Linked DNA regions of Drosophila melanogaster. The protein of the gene in region 1 purifies or fractionates together with the protein of each later gene. This does not show direct contact. Each region holds a gene or a part of one and is shown on either strand. Other genes may lie near its edges.

Evidence for each region.
Region 2: the proteins of AnxB10 (region 1) and EndoGI purify together in Drosophila melanogaster (affinity purification with mass spectrometry, with the first as the bait; one large-scale study listed by BioGRID). This does not show direct contact.

Annotation. Positions count from the first base shown.
Region 1 is NC_004354.4:20,170,918-20,175,101, forward strand, and holds AnxB10 (annexin B10), read right to left. Parts: upstream 2,598-4,184; 5' UTR 2,464-2,597; coding exon 2,452-2,463; intron 2,100-2,451; coding exon 1,388-2,099; intron 1,306-1,387; coding exon 1,124-1,305; intron 1,015-1,123; coding exon 1,012-1,014; intron 732-1,011; coding exon 675-731; 3' UTR 528-674; downstream 1-527. Other genes in the region: CG9578 (uncharacterized protein), read left to right, coding at 1-148, 213-461; Sdic1 (Sperm-specific dynein intermediate chain 1), read right to left, coding at 3,672-3,947, 4,015-4,184.
Region 2 is NT_033779.5:16,256,123-16,259,933, reverse strand, and holds EndoGI (endonuclease G inhibitor), read right to left. Parts: upstream 2,247-3,811; 5' UTR 2,169-2,246; intron 1,930-2,168; exon of another isoform or gene 1,898-1,929; 5' UTR 1,821-1,897; coding exon 1,755-1,820; intron 1,686-1,754; coding exon 672-1,685; 3' UTR 501-671; downstream 1-500.

The sequences.
Region 1 (4,184 bases):
GAACGAAAAAGTGCGATCGGAGACCACGAATCAGACGCTGAACAAGTTCAAGCTGATGCAGCGCGAGAACATCATCTTCTACCACGATTTAACTCTGTTCGAGGATGAGCTGCACGACCACGGAATATCGGTGATGAGCGTGCGAATCGTAAGTGCTGATAAATACAAATTATAGAGCCCTTATCGAAGAAGCCCAACTCTTTCTGGCACAGCGCGTGATGCCCTCTGGCTTCTTCATCCTTTTGCGCCACTTTCTGCGCGTGGACCACGTGCTAATCCGGATGCACGACACCCGCTTCCACCACGAGATCGAGAACGACTTTATCCTGAAAGAGTACATCCATCGGGAGGCGCCTTGCACTGAGCTTCAAAACTGTGTGGCCTTCTGGACCAACCCGGATGAAATGCAAGAATTTGTGCCCGTGAAGTCCAAGCAGTTGCACAAGCTCTTCTTTAAGTAGTCCCGATGTCCGATGCTAGATGCCAGATCCCAGATCTCTAGGTTTATGTCAGTCGTCGCATTGGTTACAACTGCTGCTATATGCGTTTATTTATTGCCAACAGTGTGCGCATGCGCAGACGACATTAAAAGCGATTTTCCTAAAAGGCACACTACGATCAAAGCTATTAACACGAATAAAATATTGGGCGGACCAGCTGCCACATCCTCGGGCCTAGGCGGATCCAAGTAGGGCTGTCAGGGCCCGCTTGTAGTCACCAGAGGTCTCCGCCTGGAAAGTAAAGAAAGGAACGTATTGAAGCGAGATCCAAGTTCTTGCTTTTTTGGCTATGCCCTCTACACTACAATTACTACTTTGCCCGAAAATACTTTTTTGGCAAGCCAATAATGAGATATCGAAAAATGCCCAAGAACCAGTTTGCTTCGGCGTTCTTAGAAATAATTTGATGGGGATTTTGGCAGCATATGTAGCGTAAAAGGAACACTTGATAACGTGGAGTAACCAAGACCAGGAATACATCCGTTTCACCAATGGCGTGGCCAATACTTACGTCCTAGGACAACACAAACACCGCAACAAATGCCGACAAGTACGTGAAGAGAAGGGGAAAGGGGTGCGTTAACCATGTGCGAAGCACTCGCGATTCTTCGAGATCCACTTACCACCACGGCGCTGTGCAGCGTACGGTTGTAGATCCGCTCGAACTCCTGCTTAATGGTCTCCAGGTCGATCTCCGAGCGGCTGACGATGATGCGGATGAGCGTGGCGTCATCGGTGCCGGCGCCATTCATGGCCTTGTACAGGCGGTTGGCGAAGAAGGCCGCCGGTGACTGGACGCACTCAACTAAAAGGTTAAGAAGTGTGTCATTTAACCAAGTGTCTGTTACAACAATTACTTATAACGGAACAGTTAAATATATACTGACCTATGGCCATCATGGCCTCGTGCAGCTCGTCGGACATCTCGTGCTTGATGGCCTGCTCGATGGTCTGCCCGGAGAGCACCTTGTACTCCTCGAAGACGAGTCGCAGCTGCGGGAAGCTGGCGTGCGACATGATCCGGTTGAAGACCTCCTCGTCCGTTCCCAGCTTGGCCTCGCCGGCCGAGTAGAGCTGGGCGGCCTGCTCCTTGGCCTGACCGACGTCGACGGGCGTGTCCAGTCCGTCACGTACTCCGGTCACGATCAGCGTGAGCAGGCGGCGGAAAAAGCCGGAGGTCTCGCTGCACATCTGCTCGGCCAGCGGGCGCTGGTAGCGCTCCTCGTAGACGGCCACGATCTGGGCCATCTCCTCGTTGGTCTTGGTGCACAGGATCTCGACGAGCGTGGCCTCCTCGGTTCCGATGCCCGCCATGGCGGCGTGCAGTTGCTTGCACAGGTACTCCACTGGTGGCATCATTAGACCCACGATCACGTCCTCGAACTTGCCTCCCAGCTCGTCCTTAAGATCGTCCACCAGGTCGCGCTCGAACTCCGCTTCGTAAACCGCCTTGATCGTCTGCCTCTGCTGGTTGCTCCTGCCGACGAGCACGTCGATGATTTCCTGCTCGTCGGTGCCGAATCCCTTCATCGCCGCCCGCAGCACCTGGGCGTCCTGGGAGGCGTCGAAGGGAGCTGCGTCCTTAACCGTGGGCACGGGCTGCACAGTAAAAATTTAGTTGTATATTAAATATAATTTTAGCAAAAAAAAAAAAGCCTAATAGTTTAGCAGCCTAACAAATATTATGGTCATATTCAAATCATTCATTTACACATATAACATTTCAAATATCAGAAAGTAGCTGCATACAATGAGGATTGAACTTCCTATGGTAACTCTCTGTTTTCGATAGAAACTAATATTTTGGAAAGTTAATACATTCAAACTCAAATCATTAAGCCATATGCATTTTTCTTCCCGTGTAGCGAGTGACGCATCGCCGTGGCGAATCAATAACAGGCATTAGTGCAATAATGGAATCATCTCTAGCCTGGCAATCCAATCCACTCACTTTGTATTCCATTATGCAGCTGGAAGATTCCTTGGGTTCCTTGTGGCTCTTCAGTAGACGACTTCACACGAATCAGTCTTTCTCCTGGGACTTTTTTGCGAATTCTTCTTGCGACGTCTTGTCGCCTCTGCCTGCTTTTGCTAAATAATTCGGATTGGGAGGCACTGCACCGAGGTCTCTTTTCAGTGCTCTCCGGTTTGCGCTCGGTGCAGAGCACAAGTTTTACACACGAAGAAAAATGAGACTTGTTTTTGGATGGCAGAATCTGAAGGCAGCACTCGGCTACGTAAATTAAATACACATATTGTATTGCTTTTGGCTCAAAATCGATCGGTTTTTATCTAATTTCTTTTGTTTTAACATAGAAGGAATATTTTTGAATTCTTTTCGAATTTGAAATCGAAAGTTTTTTTTTAATTTTAAAGCATTTGTTATCTGTTTTAGATAATGGATGCGATGTATTGCAACATAGGTACCTGCCATTTCCCCGTTTGAAGCCAATCTTGTTTCTCTCAGTGTATAAGCTTACGCGAGCGCGAGAGAGAGCTTTTAATTCCGCTTCAATTGGGGTTGCACTTGAATTCCAAATCAACTGATTCATTCGGCACATTTCTTGAATTAATTAATTAAAACCTGGCGATGAGATCGTAAAAGCTTAAAATGTGCACAAGCATCTAGGTTTTAATGGAATTTTTAATGCGCTTTATGCCGAAAGAGTCGAAAATGGATTCAAGTGTCTTGGAAAAAGTCGCTTCAAATGTTTTCAGATCTTAAAAAACAAAATATCGAATAAAATCATTTCTGAGGGTATACACTTTATATCCGAGCCAAATAATAGACATCTTTTTCTCGTAGGATATCTTGTATAGATATTATGTTTATTTAATCTTGTTAAATAGGCTTCGCTATAATACATTTACATTTGGGCTCTACTAAAACAAACAATGGATTACCAATCAAATATGCGGGTAGTTCTATTCTTATGTATATATATATGTACATATGTATGTATGTTTGTCTATATTCTGTCAAGTAGAGAATGTTGCAGTTTCCCCTGATTTCTTGGCGACTTTTAAGTGATTCTGAGCACTTGGACTGCAATTGAGTTTTGAGTTCTGGGTTCTATACAGTAGCGGGATCCCAAAAATACAACTTAAATTTTGTTCTAGGACGATCCTGTAAGCTTAGCAAAAGTGGTATCGACTATTAACTATATCGTCCTAGATCTCGTCACCCTGGTTCATCTTGATCTCGCTAAGATGGGTGTTGAACCGCGACCATTCGTCGCGCGATGGCTGCGCCAGGTTCTCGGCCACGTCGTACACGTACAGCTTGCCGGCCTCGTCGCCGATGCACAGGCCGGATGGAGTCCAGGAGTCGCGGCGAAGGGCTGGTGCTCCGTGTCTGGGTTGAGTTTTATCAGGTCCAGGCGGCCGCTGCCGTCGCACGGGCGACCAGGCGATGTACTGCTCAAAGGAGTACAGCGGCTTGGTGTCCTGAAAGAGTGGGCATATTTGAATTAATTCCGGAGACGACAGAAAACTGGCAACTTGATATGGGTACCTTTAGCGACCAGAGCTTGATGGTCCAGTCAATGGACGAGGTTAGGAAGAGGTGGCCAAAGTCCGGCGACAGCTGGTTGTAGTGCGTGGATATGCCAGTGATAGGGCCAAGATGGCGTTCGTAAACCTCGTTGACCCCGGAGCGCAGGCCGTGGCGCGAGGCGGAGTAGA
Region 2 (3,811 bases), on another chromosome or scaffold:
GTCAGTGTATGTAATAGTTTCAAAATTAATTAAAGTTCATTTTTGTGTTCGGAATTTAAAAGTTAACTTAAGAAAGTATTTCATATTTTATTTTAGTATTTAAGCATAATAATCTAACCATTGGATTTAAGAACTTCAAAGGAAATTACGAAAATTGTCTATGTATGAATACAAACTATGCTGAAACTATTTATGTGGATTCCACCTACATCGGTCAACTTTTATTAAAAGTATCTAAAAACAATCATTTAATACACAATTTAAAAGTTTTAGGATGCATAATGCTTAATTAGAACAGGAGATGTAAGAATACTCATAAAATATTTCAAGAAAATTCGTGATACAAATTTTAAATCAAATGAAGAAAAATGTTCCTTAATTTATATGCTATTATAGTTTATATATATTACAAAATTTTAAATGCTTTAAGCTATTGAAGAAATATGAAGAGAACAAATAATTTGTTACTGATCGAGATAATAAAAAGGACCACTATTTTTGAGAACAGTTATAAAATACTTATCATTTTATTCATTTTTAAACAATTTCTAACATTTCGAAACATAATTCAGATATTGAAATGCTTTACTGTGTGTGCCTTCAGAGATTACGACCAGAATAGGTGTTTTAGTACATAAGGAAACAATCCTTCAGTCATGAAAGATGCACTACTAATCATCATTTACAGGTCCTTCAAAGGGAGCCTTGCAACCAGCCTTTTCGTAAAACTCGAATGGCAGCGGATCCTCGTTGTCGTAATAGTCGGAATCGCGGGCGCAACTGGGACCAAGTTCCATTTTCACCATCTTGTCGCGCCAAAAGTCGAGAAGCTCTTTGGTGAGAACCTCATCCCTCAGATTGAAAATCCAACTGTTGTAGTCGTCGGGCCCATAGAAACCAGCATCACCCTTGTACTCCTGCAGCAGCTCGGCGGCCTTGTTTTGATCCTCCGCTGAGGGTGTGCCATCGAAGAGCAGCTTCCAGATTATCTCCCTGGCGGCTGCCGCTATCTTCTTCACGCTGGCCTGGTGAACGCTGTCCGGAACGATGATTTTGGTCAGAACAAAGCGCTTCATTAGAGTTCGGTATTCCTCGAGCGGATTTTCCTTGGTCAGGGTGGCCTCAAATTCGCCAGACAGAGCGGCGGCATCATCGGCACTCAGTTCACCCGGAGTTGTAGGCGTCGCTGGCCCATCCTGATCCAGCGAAGCCTGCTCCTCGAGTGCTGCGCGCACCTTTAAGCTGGCTGCAAATGGAGCGGTACAACCGGCATGGGCATAGAACTCCAATGGCGGGGTGTCGTCGCTGTCAAAGAGATCACTGTCGCGTGACCAACAGGGACCGAGTTGCTTCTTCACCAGCACATCGCGCCAAAAGTCGAGGAGTTCCTTCTTTAGAACCTCATCCCTCAGCTTGACAATCCATTCGTTGTACGGCGTCGGGTCGTAGAAGCAGGCGTCACCACGGTATTCCTCCAGCAATTGGCTGGCCTTCTCTGTGTTCGATTGCGAGGTACCGGCCTCGTCGAATAACAGCCGCCAGATGACGTCACGCGCCGCTGCAGCCGTTCGATCGAAATTCTCCTTGGTGACATCATCATCCACGATTTCGTCTACCTGCACGCGTGTTTCGATAAGCTTTTGGTAATCCTTAACGGGATCCACCAGGCCAATGGTGTAATCGTTCTGTCCAGACAATAGTTGTTATTGTTTGTAAACTATTTTTGTTTATTTTCTATGGCTGTTGCTTATTACCTGTGCTACTTTCTCGGCCGTTGCCATTTTGTCGGATTGTGTGTCCTCGGCCTTGCGCTTGGACATTCCCCTCTGGATAAATTGGCGATTTAAGGTTCTTCGAAGTAAAGCGTTTAAAATCGTTGGGCTATTGATCGTCACTTCTGTCGGAAAGAGATAAGATGACTAATTCAGATCGCCGCTTGCTGTTGCGATACTACGAATGTAAATAGTAGGGTAGTTCTTTTCAATAGAGAATAATTTTAATTGGAATATTCTCGGAAGGACAGACCAAGAATCAAAATAAGACGACTTATTGGATGAATAAGAAAAGAAAGTATGTGACATATTGAAAATATTATATATTTTATGTCGGTTTATAAATAAATATATATGTATATATATTGTACAACTTCCTTTAAAATCACATCTTACATTTAAAATAAAAAAAACTGTTTTTAAAAGACAATTGCAAAATAGGTAATTAAATTATTACAAAAAAGTATCGATTCTGCCCGCAATCGATGTTTATCTAACACTTAATTGCACTCGATACTATCGGCTCTATCGAGTGTTCGAGATTATCGAATATAATCACCATCCGTGTCTACCAACACAAACGAGCGAATTGTTCGCAACGCCTACTTCGATTACAAGTACTTTGCTCTTGGAAATCGGTAGAAAAAATTGTGCAATCCGTGCTGGAAACTACAGATATTATTTTCGCCCGATTAATTCATGTCAAATTGATAGATTCATCTTATACCATTGGTTCCGCCCCGTGCTGACTGTGTTTGTGTGTGTGTGTGCGTGACAGACACAAAGAAATTTGAGGTTAAGCTGCAGATGAATTTTGCGTTAATGTCGCTGAAAAACCAAAGTTTAACAATCCTATTCAATAAAAAACACTTAAGCTAAAGATACAATCAATTTACAGTTGCAATAAGAGCAATAGTTGTGTCGTAAAAGGCAACACACACCAGCCAATTGCATTCGTGGAATTCGTGTCGGTGAGAGTCTCGCGGTGCGTCTGTGTGTGCGTGTGGACGTGAATTCAATTTTCTCGTGCACGAAAAGCAACGAAAAAGCTTCAAAAGTTATACTCAAATGTGTATGGCAATTGTGGTAAGTGCGGCAGGGGATCGGCTACAGCCGCAAGTTTTTAAATAATACATTTTTGTTGCATAAATTGTTTCGAACGTCAACGAACACTCGCACAACTACTGAGCCACAAAGTATGTGTGCTTGTGTGCGTGCGTTGGCATTTACATTCAATTTTTTTCGTTTAAACAATTTCTAACTGGATTTTGTTTGTTTTATTCGAAAAATAGTCTTAAAAAACATGTTGGCATTAGAAATAGTTTCTGGAATTTGTTTAAATTTTTTTTTAGTATATATCAACCAGTTACATTTTTATTTGTCTGTGCAAAAACTATAAACAATTGTCATCTTGTAAAACTAGAATATGTTATAAACTAATTGTGTTTACGTTTTTTATAAATATGAATGTGAACTTTTTAAATGTATTCTTCTCAAAATACCAACAAATCTGTGTAATTGCTATGAATAATATTCTTTTCTTCGCAATCAAATTAATCGAATTGCAAATTCTGCTGTGCTTGCATAAAAAACGTTAAGGAAAGTAATGTAATGTCCCATTTGTTATCATACACAACAATCATATACTTCAATAAATGGGTAACTTCACGCATTTTACTTTCATTCGACCCAGTTACCTGGTTAACTGCCTTCGCCAGTTGAAAATAAATGTCAGCTGACCCAGTTTTACCATCCGAACGGAACTAGGACGGGACCAAAACTATTTTGCACTGCACCAGTTAAAGTTTATTTCTCTTATTTTTTTTGGCAGTTTTTATCATCTTCATACGTCATTTGCTAGGTACATACACGTAGATTCTAATCTAATATCTAATCTGTTGAAGACATTTCGAGCAGATTTATATCATATCAAAGCGGCAGAGCAAACAGTAAACAAAAGACATGGCCGAGAGAAATTGTTTTTTTTAGAACAAAACAGCCAAATCAGTTGGCATTTTATACTGAACAAATGTGGACGG